Linked DNA regions of Nothobranchius furzeri. The protein of the gene in region 1 purifies or fractionates together with the protein of each later gene. This does not show direct contact. Links are inferred from orthologs where the notes say so. Each region holds a gene or a part of one and is shown in the gene's direction. Other genes may lie near its edges.

The links. Proteins that work in one complex are often made in the same cells at the same time.
Region 2: the proteins of vars1 (region 1) and eef1g purify together in Homo sapiens (affinity purification with mass spectrometry; 6 studies listed by BioGRID and IntAct, counting the BioPlex papers as one, with this or other methods). This does not show direct contact. The link is inferred for Nothobranchius furzeri from reciprocal best matches to the Homo sapiens genes VARS1 and EEF1G.

Annotation. Positions count from the first base shown.
Region 1 is NC_091745.1:74,530,212-74,534,765, forward strand, and holds part of vars1 (valine--tRNA ligase), read left to right. Parts: intron 1-2,659; coding exon 2,660-2,818; intron 2,819-4,263; coding exon 4,264-4,354; intron 4,355-4,452; coding exon 4,453-4,554. UniProt on the Homo sapiens protein: Catalyzes the attachment of valine to tRNA(Val).
Region 2 is NC_091741.1:90,854,892-90,859,445, reverse strand, and holds part of eef1g (elongation factor 1-gamma), read left to right. Parts: intron 1-83; coding exon 84-213; intron 214-444; coding exon 445-649; intron 650-1,172; coding exon 1,173-1,345; intron 1,346-3,112; coding exon 3,113-3,237; intron 3,238-4,554. UniProt on the Homo sapiens protein: Probably plays a role in anchoring the complex to other cellular components.

The DNA of each region.
Region 1 (4,554 bases):
AGGGCAGCTGTGGCTGCATTGTAGCTCATCACCAGCCTGTGACTGGGTGGATGACTGATTGTGTACGAACAAGACCAATAAGCATTTACCATTTAACTTTAGTAGCTTTTAACTTTAGCTTAGTAGCATTTAACTTTAGCTTAGTAGCATTTCACTTTAGCTTAGTAGCATTTCACTTTAGCTTAGTAGCATTTCACTTTAGCTTAGTAGCATTTCACTTTAGCTTAGTAGCATTTGACTTTCGCTTAGCAGCATTTGACTTTCGCTTGGTAGCATTTGACTTTCGCTTGGTAGCATTTGACTTTCGCTTGATAGCATTTCACTTTAGCTTGGTAGCATTTCACTTTAGCTTAGTAGCATTTGACTTTAGCTTAGTAGCATTTGACTTTAGCTTAGTAGCATTTGACTTTCGCTTTGTAGCATTTCACTTTAGCTTAGTAGCATTTCACTTTCGCTTAGTAGCATTTCACTTTCGCTTAGTAGCATTTCACTTTAGCTTAGTAGCATTTCACTATTGCTTAGTAGCATTTCACTTTAGCTTAGTAGCATTTCACTTTAGCTTAGTAGCATTTCACTTTCGCTTAGTAGCATTTCACTTTCGCTTAGTAGCATTTCACTTTCGCTTAGTAGCATTTCACTTTCGCTTAGTAGCATTTCACTTTCGCTTAGTAGCATTTCACTTTAGCTTAGTAGCATTTCACTTTAGCTTAGTAGCATTTCACTTTCGCTTAGTAGCATTTCACTTTAGCTTAGTAGCATTTCACTTTAGCTTAGTAGCATTTCACTTTCGCTTAGCAGCATTTGACTTTCGCTTGGTAGCATTTGACTTTCGCTTGGTAGCATTTGACTTTTGCTTGGTAGCATTTGACTTTAGCTTGGTAGTATTTCACTTTAGCTTAGTAGCATTTGACTTTAGCTTAGTAGCATTTCACTTTCGCTTAGCAGCATTTGACTTTCGCTTAGTAGCATTTGACTTTCTCTTGGTAGCATTTGACTTTCGCTTGGTAGCATTTGACTTTCGCTTGGTAGCATTTGACTTTCGCTTGGTAGCATTTGACTTTCGCTTGGTAGTATTTCACTTTAGCTTAGTAGCATTTCACTTTAGCTTAGTAGCATTTCACTTTCGCTTAGCAGCATTTGACTTTCGCTTAGTAGCATTTGACTTTCTCTTGGTAGCATTTGACTTTCGCTTGGTAGCATTTGACTTTCGCTTGGTAGCATTTGACTTTCGCTTGGTAGCATTTGACTTTCGCTTGGTAGCATTTGACTTTCGCTTGGTAGCATTTGACTTTCGCTTGGTAGCATTTGACTTTCGCTTGGTAGCATTTGACTTTAGCTTGGTAGTATTTCACTTTAGCTTAGTAGCATTTCACTTTAGCTTAGTAGCATTTCACTTTCGCTTAGCAGCATTTGACTTTCGCTTAGTAGCATTTGACTTTCTCTTGGTAGCATTTGACTTTCGCTTGGTAGCATTTGACTTTCGCTTGGTAGCATTTGACTTTTGCTTGGTAGCATTTCACTTTAGCTTGGTAGTATTTCACTTTAGCTTAGTAGCATTTGACTTTAGCTTAGTAGCATTTGACTTTAGCTTAGTAGCAGGGGTTAATTTGAGCCAGATCTTGCCGGAACAAGATCCGGGAACTGTCTTATTTTGAAAGGACCGTTCTGGCAACTCACACGACCAACTTGTGTTATACGCAGGGTTCAAATTACGGGTGAGCTAAAGGGAGCCCGGCTCACCCGAAAGGGTGACGGGCTCCCCTGGAGGCCCTCATCCTACACACCATGGGGTAGCATGAAAAAGATCCTGGTTTTACTTATATTATCTATGTGGACTCTCCGGAGATTATTTTGAGCTGAGAGGCGCAGAGCTCTGATCGCAGACAGATGCGTCCTGAGCACGGCCACATTAACATTCTCAAAGTGTCGTCACCTCAAAAAATATTTAACACATGGCCGTTAATGTTTGCTCACTTCCTTTTATGCTTTCTGTCTTTAATTTGTGCCTGATGCGTTTCACTGCTGCGGAGCGGAGCGCATCACCGGTTTTGTTCTCTGGTGACTTCTCTGCTGCGGCCGGCACACACTCCGCTATTTTTGCGGTCGGAAAATCTTTTTGAACTTTAGTTCAAAGGTAACTCATGAGGTGAAAATATATGAAGCCAGGTAGCAGTTTTTCTTTAGGATTGAGAGGGGTTGCAGGAAGATAATAGACAGAGACAGGACAGAAAAGTGTTTGAAAAGAAAAATTTATAAGCATGTAATATTTATACATTCGATACCATTTATACATATATATGATACAGTTCAGATCTCCTTCAAACCTCAAACCCATGCAGCCACTGTGCGGGGGAAGGGGGGAAAGGGCTGAAGCAGGGGAACAGTAAAGATGCAAAAACTTCCATTATTAAAAGAAATGTGTGTTAACTTTGAAAATGTGGGTGCAATTTTTAATTGCTTGTCAAATACTTTAACTTTCATTTAGTGACTTACGGATATTAAAAGTTTCTAAGCACAAGTCTCAAAATACGCATCTCAAAGTTACGTGTCACAAAACACACGAGTTTTAAGCACCAAAGTCTGTATCCTAGATCCATAGAAATGGAACTCGGTGCATGTGTTTGAGACATAAAGCTTATCCGTGTTTCTGCTCCAACAGTCGTTCCAAGGACATTGTGGAGCCGCTGCTGAAGCCACAGTGGTACGTGAACTGCTCCGAAATGGGTAAGCAGGCCGCAGATGTCGTCAGAGAGGGCAAGCTCAAAATCATCCCCGACCACCACCTCAAGACGTGGTTCAACTGGATGGACAACATCAGGTCCCCGTCCCCTTTCATCTCTTTTGTTGACCTTTTACTTGTTGGTAATTTAAAGCAAAGGACTTAAGATTCCTGATGCTATTAAAATATTTACGCTTCAAGTTTTTGTTGTAGTAATAGGAAGTATTTTCCAAGTTTTAGAAAATTTATGTGAAAATAAAATTTGTATTAAAGGGACATTATGGAAGTTTGACAGCCAAAACATGAATAGAAATAATAAATTTCTTCTTCATACATTCTCCTGCAATGCCCTGGTCCTGTAGAATGAGCCCTGGCATTTTTACTGTGATTGCCTGTTTTTCTGTAAAATCACAGAAAAAGAGAGATGCTCGGGTCGAGCAGGCTGCTTCATGCACGTTCACGCTCAGGCATAGCCCGTAGCATTTGCTATCCGTAGCTTTAGCAGCAGAGAGAGAGGCAGTCGATGGTGCCAACTCCTAACGCCTAGTGACGAACCTAGCTACATTTCTGAGGACCCTTAGCTACTTTCTTCTAGATATTTCCTGCAAATTAGCAACAAAATAGCCATTTTCGCTCCAAATCGTTTTTTTGAACGTTGTTTCAGCTGTCATCAAGGATATAAATGTTACAGATACAAAGGACGTTACTGATGCTTTAGCTCACCTAGTAACACGCCGGACTCTCGTGCAGAAGTCCTGGGTTCGATTCTGGGTGTGAACATAGCTTATTTAGAGTTCCTTTTTTACATTAATGGTATATTTTTTTACAATAATAAGATGCCCAAATTTTTATTTGAGACTCGCCGAACGGCATTGAATTCACAGATAAAAAAGATGTGGGTTCAACTTTCATTTTGGAACAATTTTTCAAGCAAGGGAAGGGAATGATCTGAGCATGCAGGAGGACTGACCCATCATAAACCTTTGTCGGCTGTGCTGAAGAGAAAGGTACAGAACCAAATTATTTAATTAATTAGCTGCACGTTCTCCTGTCCTCTGGGCCACACACACACACACACACTCACACACACACACACACACACACACTCACACACACACACACACACACACACACTCACACAAGGGACTGTCTCAGCTGTTATTTTCGTTAAGGAGTGTGCACGTACAGCATGCGCGCCTCGTGCACGAGCCTACCATTGAAGCTGTCGTTATGTTTTTGGCCTGAGGGGGGGAATCGCGAGCGTAAAAATTCAAAACTCCGTTAAGTCCCTTTAATATTGTAACACAAAGTGATGTTTTTAGAACATTTTTGTTTGAGAAAGCATTCATGTATGTAATGTTGTTATATAGGGGGCATAAATCACAATTAGATATAAATTTGTTGTTTTCTTACTAGAATTAAAGAACAAAATGATTGATTTGATATTTAAGTTTCTGTTATGCTCACTAATTGTTTACTTTTGGCCTCTAAACATCTAAATGAGTGTCGTTTTTAAATGTTCCCCATTCTTCATCCTTGTATAGAGACTGGTGCATCTCTCGCCAGCTGTGGTGGGGTCACCGTATTCCTGCTTACTTCATCACCGTCGGCGATCCTTCTGTGAAACCCGGCGAGGCGAGTTGATCCCCGTCACTGAAGTCGAGGCCTGATGTGTAAAAGAACGATTTGCATCATAGCTCAGACTTTGATTTGTTTCCTCATCTGCTCTCCAGGACACGGATGGTCATTACTGGGTGAGCGGGAGATCAGAGGAGGAGGCCAGAGAAAAAGCTGCGAGACGCTTTAACGTGTCTGTGGACAAAATTTCCCTCAGA
Region 2 (4,554 bases), on another chromosome or scaffold:
TTGATGTTCACAAAGCACCCAATCACACACTCCTGATCTCTAATATTTAATTCGGGAAGAGCTGAAACCTCTCTGCTCTGTAGGTCTTGGAACCTTCCTTCCGTCAGCCATATCCCAACGTGACCCGCTGGTTTGTCACCTGTGTAAACCAGCCCCAGTTCAAGGCAGTTCTCGGAGAAGTCAAGCTGTGTGAGAAGATGGCTCAGTTTGATGGTGAGTCCTCAACAGTGAGTTCAGAATAAACTCGTAATCAAAGGATGTCAGAAGGACCTGCACTGCGAGTTGAAACTTAACGCAGATATCAGTTTGGTCTTACAGATCTGTAGTATGACTTAAGATGTTCTTATTTGTCCAGTCAAAATAAATCACTAATAGTCTACCGTCCTTGTTCATAGATGGTTGTAAATAACTGATTTAAGAGTAGATAACTGTTCTTCTGACTAGCTAAGAAGTTTGCTGAGATGCAGCCAAAGAAAGAGGCCCCCGCCAAGAAGGAAAAGGCAGCGAAGGAGGCAGCCAAACCCCAGGAGAAGAAAGAAAAGAAAAAGGAGGAGAAGAAGCCTGATCCTGAGGAGGAGATGGATGACTGTGATGCTGTTTTGGCTGCAGAGCCCAAAGCAAAGGATCCCTTTGCACATCTGCCAAAGAGGTAAAGATTTGTAGTGAGCAGCGCCATCAGAAGTTCTAGTTTTACATATGGGTGGTGTATTACAGAAATGTGCTTAGTTTAATTGGATGCATATATTAATCTGAAAATGTCTATGGAATCTAGTGCATTTTGGGTATTTGATGTGTTATTGAGTCTTTGATTCATAGACTGACAGTTTTAAAACAAAGTAGTTAATTTCAGGTGATGAATGTCCCCTGTCTTTGGGCAAGGCGGTGTCCATTCATGACACAAAGTCTTAATCTGACAGGGGAAGAGAATGAGGGCCATATTCATCCCAGTCATCTCTGTTTTAGTGAGAATAAAGGCTGGTTCATAGTGAGCCCACATTTCTCCTTGATCTCAAGAGCAGCTCGACTTATGGAGGAGCTGAAAATAAATTCAGAAGATGGTGAAAAGGAGATCTTTAGAAACGCTAATGATGGAAAGGAAACTAAAACCTAAACACATTAATCCTCTCCAACAGCACATTTGTGACCTGTTATATATACATATTTTTCTGTAGCTCATTTGTCATGGACGAGTTCAAAAGAAAATATTCCAACGAGGACACCTTGACAGTAGCTCTTCCCCACTTCTGGGACAACTTTGACCGTGAGGGGTATTCCATCTGGTATTGTGTTTACAAATACCCAGAAGAACTCACACTTACCTTCAAGAGCTGCAACCTCATCACAGGTGAGTCAGATGGGCTGATTGTATGCGTTGGTGTAATGTGAAGATTAGGACTGCAGATAATGATTATTTTAATCTATTCTTATGCCACGGTAATAAGACAGTAGTAATCAATCAATTCATCAGATAAGCCTTTCTGTTTCCTTTGCTTTGGAAATCTGGTACCAACGTAACAGAGCAGTACTAGTTGTGGGAAAAACTAGCCAATAACCAGATTATTTCTATAACAGAGTTTATTGCATTCAGCTCTTTTTCATTTGCTGCCTGTTGACTCTGATGCATGTTCAGCTGAGGATGGATTTAGCCACTCTGGCAATTGAAGCCCATTCCTGAAACAAAAGAAATTTAGTTTACCTGCAAACAATGGTGATTGTTTTATCAACAAGACTAAATAAACTACAGAATAGTAAATGTCCATTTGATCACAAGTCTGATTTTGTCTTTTGTTTTATTTTTATTTTTTTGTTCTTTTCTAAAACTGCTGCGTTCCAAACAAATGACTGGAAATTAAAAACATGCATGGGGTACTTAAAAAAAAGCTGACAAGCACATTTTAGTCTCATGCTGCCTTACATTAAAGCACAGAGGGGAAAAAATAACGCACTTCTTTGCTTTTAGTGGTAGCTCCCGTTAGCGTAGCTGGAGATGCACCATTCATCTTCATTTAAACTAAATCACACACCTTGTCTCAGATCTGCAGCTGATGCCTAAAAGCACCTGGATGCTGTGTGCTGTGATCCTGATTCCTGGGATGTGGAAGTTGTGCTGTTGTGAACTGCTAAAATTGTGCTAAGCTAGCGATCTTGTCCCATCAGCTTGAGTTTGAATAGTCCTACACTTTTGACATTTTCTCTGGATGTCTTCATTCCTTTTGCATTCACCCTGTTGCCTGCTCTTCTGTTTGATCTGTTGCAGAACAAGCATGCTTGTTTAATAACCGAAAGGTCACACTGGAAGGAGATTGTATAACCCAGAAGTAATAATTGTCGATTCTAAAAGGAAAAAAAAAATTATATATGTATATATTTTTTTTTCTTCTTTTTTTTCAACACTTTTTATTATTACTTCTGAGTTATACAATTTATATTTTTTTACAATTTTGTTTTGCAATCAATTCAATCGAATTTGAATATTTGTTTCAGCCTGAGTGAAGATATAAAGACATGATTGATTCTTGTGATTTGCAGTTGTGCTGAAGTTAAGAATGGTGTTAAGTGCTGTACATAAAAGTGCTTTAGAAATCACTGGTTACTTGATTCCACTGTGGTTTACTGACTGCTTCTTTTAGCCTCAAGTTTAACATCATGAATGTCCTTTTTTATTCCACTAACCCAAGACCTATGGTGTTAAAAACAAAGTATTGTATTGTGCTCCATGGTTTCTGCCTGTCAATCCCAAGGTAGTTGCACTGTAGAACATTGTTTTATTCTAAAAATAATTCTGTAGGGTAGACATCTCCCCTGTCTTTGGGCAAGGCAGTGTCCTGTGATGGCACTACGTCTTAATCTGACGGGGAAAGAAAAAGTTGGCCCAAATTCATCCCAGCCATGTCTGATTCAGTGAGTTTAGGCTGGTTCATACTGTGGTCACATCAGGCCCAAATGCCTAAATGTGTAGTCTTATTAACTGCCCACTAGTTGTGGTAACAAATGTTGATCTGATTGACTGTTAACTGCTGCTTACATAAGCTTTTCACCGTTGCCCAGTAAATCTCAGACTTTATGTTGGTATTCACACTGGATTTACTGGATTTACCTGTGAATTTCACAGGTATGTTCCAACGCCTGGACAAACTGAGGAAGAACGCCTTCGCCAGTGTCATCTTGTTTGGCACCAACAATGACAGCAGCATCTCTGGTATCTGGGTCTTCAGAGGCCAGGATCTGGCCTTCACTGTAAGTAAATGACAGGGTGGAGATTACGATGTTGTGATTAAATTTCATCAATTGGACTCCAAATTAGGGCTGGGTGATATATCGATATTTTTAAAACATCGATAAAAAAAATTTAAACAAGATACAAGATGACTTATGTCAATAAAACTGGTCAAACTGCTATGCTAGGTATTAGCCGCTATGCTAGCGACATGTTGCGCCGTCTCTAAGCGATACAGTGTGTGTTCTCACAAGTTTGCTCAATCTGAGAGCCTTTGGGTAAATGTGCTGTTCTAAGTTTTGCATTTGGCGTCCTGGTTTTTCATTATTTGGGCACATTCAGCGCCAACGGGATTCTGTTTTTCTGTCCTGCTTGTGCGAAGCCAGAGAGACGAGCCAAACCCCTCCCTCCCCTGTGTAATCAGGAAACTTCTACGGATAGTCAGTGTGGCCAAACTACCTCAAACATATTGTAAGGGTTTGAATAGTAAATTATAGGGTTAACGTTTTATTTTGAAGGCGAACTCGACGGGGGAGAATTGTTCAAGTTCCGTTTTTTTCTCCGCTGTTTGCTATGCTAGTAAATACTTCTATTGAAAAAGTTAAAGTTTGTAAGGCGTGGGTTTTGGCGACAGTAGCCCGAAAATAATACTCATAAAAGAGCAACCAGAGACTCTTGAGTCATTACAGTATAATCGCTGATATGAGCCAATACTGTTAGATTCCAGCCATGTATGCCCTGATAACTAAATGATAAATGACCCGTACGTGTATATCGCCTCACAGAATAAGGACCCCAAAGTGCTTTACACTACAGTGTATCATTCATCCATTCACACACATTCACACACTGAGGGTGATGAGCTACGATGTAGCCACAGCTGCCCTGGGGTGCACGGACAGTGAAGCTGCCGAGCACAGGTGCCACCGGACCAGCAGGCAAGGTGGTCTTGCCCAAGGACACAACAGCAGAATTCTCCGTCCGGAGCCGGGATCGAACCTGCAACCTTCCGATTACTGGACAGCCCGCTCAACCTGTTGAGCAGCAATAATAACTCCATGGTGCATGACCCATGTGATCTTCAGTAGATGCAATTACATCATGAATTTAATTTAACATGATTTTTTTTTTCCCTCTGGACAACAAAAAAAATATGGCCCACCTGTAGATGAAATTTAAATAATTTTAAATTAATTATAAATATATAATTAAAAAGTGCCTGTGGGACATTTGATACACCTCTAGCTCTCAACTGTGTGTGTGGGTGTGTGGGTGTGGGTGTGGGGGTGGGTGGGTGGCGTGCGTGCGTGCTAGCAGACGGCTGTACCAGTGTTTCT